Arabidopsis thaliana: one gene and its partner. The protein of the gene in region 1 purifies or fractionates together with the protein of each later gene. This does not show direct contact. Each region holds a gene or a part of one and is shown in the gene's direction. Other genes may lie near its edges.

Region 1 (3,755 bases):
GTTGCTCTTCTTTCAGGATGCATTAATCACAGGAATCTATCAGTCGGGGACATTGCGGCTAATAAGATTCTCCAGTTGAATCCGGATAGTATTGGGATCCAAACACTGGTTTCTAACTTCTTTGCAACTGCCAATAAGTGGAAAGAAGTGGCCAAAGTGAGGAAGTTGATGAGAAATGGGGCCATGGAGAAGGTACCAGGCTACAGCGCGATCGAAGTAAATGGGGAGCTTCGAACTTTTCTCATGGAAGATCTGAGTCACCATGAACATTATCACATGTTGCAAGTGTTGAGGAACTTGAAAACTGAGATAAGAGATGTATGTTCCGGAGTCGAATAGTTCTGTCTCTATGAGCATCCATTCTTATTTCAGTATGTATATATACATCCATTTCTGACTCATGTGGCCCTATTTTGGAGTGAGGTTTTAGTCAAAAACTCTAACAATACATTCCACGCGTTGAACAAGAAAACCAAACCGGGTCAATTTCAATTTTAGTGAGAAGAAAATACCAAGAGGTTCTTGGTCCCTTTGAGAAAAGCAGAGTACCAAAGTGCAAATTCAAGTTAATTGACAAATGTGAAAGAGACTTAAGAATTGAGACTTATTAAAGAGACTAAGAGAGTGATAAACCCCTTAAATAATGTATTGAGAAACCCTTACCTTTGTGGCTTTGTGACACTGGTTTGTATGGTTGTGGCGGACAAATTCGTTTGCGGATTGAACCATTTTATATATTATAGTCCGTAAGAGTATGGATTGAGACAAATAGAAGAAATCCGTCGTGGACCAATTTATATAAAATAAACTTGATTTGGGGTGGATTGTTGTATGTCCCAAAAATAGAGTAACGCTCCAAAACTAAATAACACCAAAAGAATTAAGAATGCACACGATCTCTTAGTTGTCTTTAGTCTTAACTAACCATATCACTTGACTACAAAAAATAAAAAGACACACTCACGTTGAGAAACTGATGAAGCTGAACGATCTGTCTTCTTTGATTTGATCTTTCTTATTTTTTCGTGAACAATCTCTAAAATATTCCCATTAAGGCATTAACCATGTGAAAACACTTGTACGTGTGGACTATATAGTTCACGTGTGTATGAGTACGGGAGCATTGAATAATTATCGCTACGGCAACCACAAATAAATTGATGTGAACAACGCTGAATACTTTCCATTTTTCAACTTTGTCTAGTAAAAAATTACTAAAATAATGTTCCAATTATGGTTTTTAGTGAACATCTTATTGTCATTGGTGATTCGATAATAGATGCTACGAGACATGTTATTTGTTCTTGGAAGAAAGAGGTACGTAAATTCTCAAAAGGGTCTTTCAGTGTAAAGAGGCAGCTTTGACTTTGCTAACACAAAAAGTCTCCATATGATTATTTTCTTTTTCTTTTCAGAAGTTAATATTCTCAATTTCTCATAAACATTTTCAATTCTTTCTTTTGTTATTGGTTGAATAATTTTGTTGAGTTTTATAAATGATGTTTTAATGTGAAAACCAAGAAACAATTGATCATTTAATTAGTTTCTTGATTAGTGTGCTAAAACCTTAAACATCAACTAAGATCAAAAAGAGATTAGGTAGTTGTGGTCAACCACCTTTGATGATAACTTTCTCATTTCTAGTTTTCTAACTATTTTGTTCATACTGCCTTTTTTTTTTCCTTGTACTCGTAGAACACTTTTTATTTACTTACTATCACTTTGTAGTACTCTTCACAAAACACTTTTAAGTTTTCTCTAAAAAAAACTATGAGTGTAAATAATAAAAGTATACGTACTAGCGTTAAATGGCGATATTTGTAAAAATAGTTATTGTACTATTTGTATCACAAAAATTGCAAGTAGTTGATTCAAATGGTAACCTATCTATAGACGAATTGGTACCAATCGTCACCAAAAGAAATTTCAGTTATTACTACTCATTAATCCGCTAAAATCCAAGATCAATAATTCACTAAATTCTGCTATAACATTGTAACATTGTTGCTATCAATAATCAAATTATTCTATTAGCATATAATTATTAGATCCACAAAACTTATCTACTAGAGCAGAAGATTCCACCAAAAGTTGCTTCCGACCCACATATCCAATTCTTTAGGACAAAAATATTTATTACAATCTTTTAAGAGGAAAACAATGTAACATGGACACCAAAATAAAGCCGCCTTTAACGGTGACGGTAACGGTAACGGCGTTTGAGTGCTCTTGACAATACATGAAAATTTAGTAATAGAGTTAAGAAATGAAATTAATAGAGTTTGGAGTGAGACAAAGAGAGAAGAGAAGATTAGAGAGAGGAGAGGAAGGGTCAAAGAATACATAGCATCACCACTAGTCAACGCTTTTATAAAACTTCTTCTTCGTCTCCTCTCCTTCTCACATCTCTCTCTGTCTTTCTCTCTCAAACCTAACAAAAGCTTCAGACTTCAATTCTTTAGCTACCTCTCTCCCATGGCAGTAAGTGTTTTCTTTCCTTCTTTCCTTCTCCTCTTCTTCTTATTTAGGTCTAGAGCTTTCTCTCAGATTATAGTTTTTGTTTCGATTCCGTCAATCTCTGACCCTTTTTTTGGAGGATTTGTAGAAAGTTGAGTCTTAATCTATTTGCATTTATGGTTCTTCCTATTGAGATAACATTTCTATGGATTGCGATGTCTATTAGTATTCAACTTTATGATTCTGATTTGCTTTAGATAAGAAAAGGGTTTTATGAAAGTTACTATTTTTATGGTAAAGTTTCTATTTTTGCTTAGCAAAGATTTCAACTTTATCATTGTACTTGGTCGAAATCGATAAACCCAATTTGTATTTGTTCTGTTTTGGATTCTTAAGTGAATTTGCTATCTTGTTTCTGTGATGATTGTTCTTTAGGATGTTATGTTATTGAATGTTTTGTGGAAGGACATTGTTGTTGAATTGTTTGTTGCAACAGCGTTCGAATGTACCAAAATTTGGAAACTGGGAAGCTGAGGAGAATGTTCCTTACACAGCTTACTTTGACAAAGCTCGTAAGACTCGAGCACCCGGTAGCAAGATCATGAACCCGAATGACCCGGAGTATAACTCTGACTCTCAATCACAAGCTCCTCCTCATCCTCCTTCTTCCAGAACCAAACCTGAGCAAGTTGACACGGTTAGAAGATCACGTGAGCATATGAGAAGCCGAGAAGAGAGCGAGTTGAAACAGTTTGGTGATGCTGGTGGTTCATCAAATGAAGCTGCTAACAAAAGACAAGGAAGAGCTTCTCAGAACAATAGTTATGACAACAAGTCACCTTTGCATAAGAATTCTTATGATGGTACTGGAAAATCTAGGCCTAAACCTACCAACCTTAGAGCTGATGAAAGTGTAAGAATCTCACTTTTAACCTCTAAAGTGAGAATATCTCTGTTTGTTGCTTATGTGTTGTCATCTGTTTATATATAGCCTGAAAAAGTCACAGTGGTGCCTAAATTCGGTGACTGGGACGAGAACAACCCGTCATCAGCTGACGGATACACGCATATCTTCAATAAAGTCCGTGAAGAGAGAAGTTCTGGAGCAAATGTGAGTGGATCTTCAAGAACGCCGACTCATCAAAGCTCCCGTAACCCGAACAACACTTCCTCAGTAAGACATTCTTTAAAACTCATTTTCAAGTATAATCATTAGTGAATACGTATTCAAATAGTGAGTGTGTGTTGAACATTGGTTTGTCTTGTGCAATTTGACAGTGTTGCTGCTTTGGCTTTGG
Region 2 (3,734 bases), 8.3 Mb from region 1:
TTCTCTCTGTGGATAAGCTAGCCTCCATAGTTGTCTAAGAGCATCCTGTGAATCATGAGATTACATAAATTTCGACAAAACATTGCATGTGCATAATTAATATAGAGAATCAAGCAAACAGAGAGTCCATGAGAACACTTACTTGATGCTCCATTCGAGATCCATCAAATGGGATTTCTATTCTTCGCTTAATATTTCTCAGCCTTTCTTCCTAATAAGAGGCAAGAAAATACAGAATGGAGATCAAATTGACAGTGACAGTCAAATTGACCATGGATAACTGGAAACAAAACAAACCGGTAAAATTTTAAAAAGCAACAAAAACAAGCAATTGAGACCATAAGAGAAAGTCATCATTTTACTAAGTAAGCTTCCTAATAAACCACATACACAAGTAAGAGACTTAGAGGCACCAAGCAGAAACACACTCTGATAAATTTTCTAATTCTATACATCTCTTTGTTTTCCAGAGTTACCATTATTCTTCCAAACACAAGCCAATAAAAAGTATTTGTAGTCTACAAATGAGACAGTGCAAATACAGTTACACAAGTATTCTTACAGTTACAAAAGTATTCTTACACAAACTACTAAAGCTATCTCAACAATGCTAAGACCAAGAACCTAATGTGAAAATGTAAACTTAAAAAAGAATATGGTATAGGCTGATGAATTATAGTCCTCTTAAACGTATCTTTTGGTATCTAATGTTCAAAAGATAAGGTAGACCGTTTAGATTACCTGCAACATACTAAGAGGTGGTGGCAGAAGCCTCCCACCAGTACCTATTTGACCAAATGTAGGCAGAGAAAGAAACCTCCCAACAAGTGAGCCAGATCCAAAGACTATTTTGGCTGCAAACCAAGAAACAAGTTGTAATGAGATAATCCCCCTTTTAAAAAATCAAGGAGTGATAGTAACAAGACAATAAAAGCCCAACCTATCCACTGAGCCCACTGTGCAATCAACTGAGAAAAGATTAACGTCCAGTGAACTTGCTGTCTCTTCCGTTCTTCTTCCCAAATATCCTCCAGAGTACGCTCCTAAGAGTAACACCACAGGTAATAATACATAAAAGGGTTCTTCTCATCTCTAATTAAAAACACACACACTGAACTACTAACCTCAATGTACTCATTTCTACTATTATCAGTACTACTACTTCCTAACAAGGGTTCACTTAAAGTTTCAGAGTCTGTTGCATCATAGCGTTCATACTTCCTCCCATCTACATCACCGTGATGAAGCCGCCTTCTCAGAGTCGCAGATGCCATCTTGTATATCAACAGATACAAGCGAATAAGCCCCTGCATTATACCAGAAATAAGATCAAACAAACAAAAACATGAAAATTGGAGACAGTGTCTTGATAATGGAGCTATGCGATTATAATTTAAAGCTTTTCATTTGTCCAGTCTTCCAATTTTTGCACACTAGACACTAATTCTTCAACACTAGATCATAGAACAGACCCATGCAAACAGAAATCAATAAGAGAAAACGAACCCTAGAACTAGAAGCTTCAACGGGAATCAGAACAAGATAGAATTTTTCAACCTAGCAAATTACAAAGCGATGCATCTGCGCTAAGTCACCAACCATTGAATCGTTTTAAAAAAATTCAGAAGATCAAACAGAGCTCCACCACAAACCCTAATTGGGCGATAACGAAAAGACTCAACACAAAACAGGATCGCTTAAAATCCCCAAATCTCAGATTCGACTTTTTGTAATCCCTAATCAGAAAACTTGACAAGAAAAACATCACCAAATCCAAAAACTTTGGAATCTAAGATACATTATAAGGAAAGTTACGAATTGGGTTTGATCGATTCTCTTACAGGGAACGTGATCTGAGTGAAAAGATGAGAGCTTCCTTCGAGAGAAAGGTAAGAATAAGCTCACGAAATCTGAAATCCAAAGGAAACTGTCGCCGCCAAATTTCCCAGAAATTTTATTTATTTCGATTAATCTCTCTTATACGTTACTATTTATTTTATTTCTCTTTTGTTGGTCAACGACCCGGTTTGTCATCCGGTTTACGATGTTTGGTTTAGGCATCTGAAATCTACCGAAATGGGCCGGTAATTAGCTCATACCCAACACGACCAGACCAGACCGACCCGACCCGACGGCTCCAGATTCATCCATGTTTCATCTTCCTCATCAGATCTAATTCAATCTGCGAATTTCTCTTAAACCCTAACCCTCTCGCTGCCGTCCGGTGGTTTTTCCGACGACGAACTATGACGATTCACGCTGCAGTAATCCAGAAGCTTCTGAACACCGGAGCACATCTCGGCCGTCGTGCCGCCGAGCACCATTTCAAGCAATACGCTTACGGGACGCGTAACGGAATGACAATTATCGACTCCGACAAAACCCTAATTTGCCTCCGTAGCGCCGCTCATTTCGTCGCTAACCTCGCCCACATGAGAGGTAACATCTTCTTCGTCAACACGAATCCTCTCTTCGACGAAATCATTGAGCTCACTTCTCGTCGGATCCAAGGAGATTCGTATAATCACAACCGTGCGATGAATCTGTGGAAGATGGGAGGGTTTTTGACTAACAGCTACAGTCCTAAGAAGTTTCGATCTAGGCATAAAAAGCTTTGCTTTGGTCCAACTACTATGCCTGATTGTGTCGTTGTGTTTGATTCTGAGAGGAAGAGCTCTGTGATACTTGAGGCATCGAAGCTTCAGATTCCGGTTGTTGCAATTGTGGACCCGAATGTGCCATTGGAGTTCTTTGAGAAGATTACGTATCCTGTGCCAGCTCGTGATTCGGTCAAGTTTGTGTATTTGTTCTGTAATGTGATCACCAAGTGCTTTGTGGCAGAACAGATGAAGTTGGGGATCAAAGAAGGGAGCAATGAAGATTTGATGAAGGATTTAGCTGCTTGATTTTGATATTTGCAACAAAAGTATGAAACTTTACAGTTGTTTTTCTGAGTCTGGAATAATTGTTCTTCAGAATTGTGGTTACTTCAACTTTGAAATTCTGGGAGTTTTTTACACATGGATGATTTTGTTTCTCTGATGGATATTTCTGTATAAGATTGTTGAGTTCTAGTGTTCTACATCTTGATAACTGCCTTGTCTTTTCCTTGCACAACTCATTTTTTGGAAATGCTTTAGACATTGTATATGGTAATCGTTACTTCACAAGTTTTGGAATGAGCTATTTACAAGTAACTGTCTGGGATAACTTTGAATGTCTCTTAAGACAATTCTATGGTCTTTACTTGAATTTTAGTCGAGTTTCTGTCATGTTCCTGATTTTTTGGGGCATCTCTGGTCATACCTCTTGAAGTTGTACTTATCCTCGGTAGAGTTTGTTGCTAATCTTAGTGGTTTGATCGGCTTGGTTTCCACTGCACGTGCTACAGAGATTGTTAGTAAGAAGTAAGATCAAGCCATGTTAGTCTCCATCTATCATCCTCCGGGACTAAGAAAATTTGCATGTAAAGCTCTTGGAACTAACTTAGACTTTTCAAGATGGTCAAGTTTGATTCTCTCTTCTGGTCTTCTCACTTGTGGAATAGTTGCGATGTCGTTGTGCTTCAGAGATTTTCTCGATGGAACAAACCGACGTTGTTTAAGCTCTCTTAACTCAGTTACCATCCTCTCCAAGAATTATCATTGTTAGCTTTTGGTTTTCTCCTTATTATTGTCACTATAGCTTGTCAACAATACCTTATTAGTTATTACCTTACCTCGACAGAATCAAAG

The links. Proteins that work in one complex are often made in the same cells at the same time.
Region 2: the proteins of RIN4 (region 1) and RPS2 purify together in Arabidopsis thaliana (affinity purification with western blotting, with the first as the bait; one study listed by BioGRID). This does not show direct contact.

Annotation. Positions count from the first base shown.
Region 1 is NC_003074.8:9,129,983-9,133,737, forward strand, and holds the start of RIN4 (RPM1 interacting protein 4), read left to right. Parts: upstream 1-2,155; 5' UTR 2,156-2,475; coding exon of another isoform or gene 2,476-2,481; 5' UTR 2,482-2,908; coding exon 2,909-3,370; intron 3,371-3,448; coding exon 3,449-3,631; intron 3,632-3,735; coding exon 3,736-3,755. Other genes in the region: AT3G25060 (Tetratricopeptide repeat (TPR)-like superfamily protein), read left to right, coding at 1-339.
Region 2 is NC_003074.8:867,019-870,752, reverse strand, and holds RPS2 (ribosomal protein S2), read left to right. Parts: upstream 1-2,046; 5' UTR 2,047-2,246; coding exon 2,247-2,906; 3' UTR 2,907-3,205; downstream 3,206-3,734. Other genes in the region: AT3G03610 (ELMO/CED-12 family protein), read right to left, coding at 1-45, 143-211, 742-854, 941-1,043, 1,125-1,307, 1,600-1,602.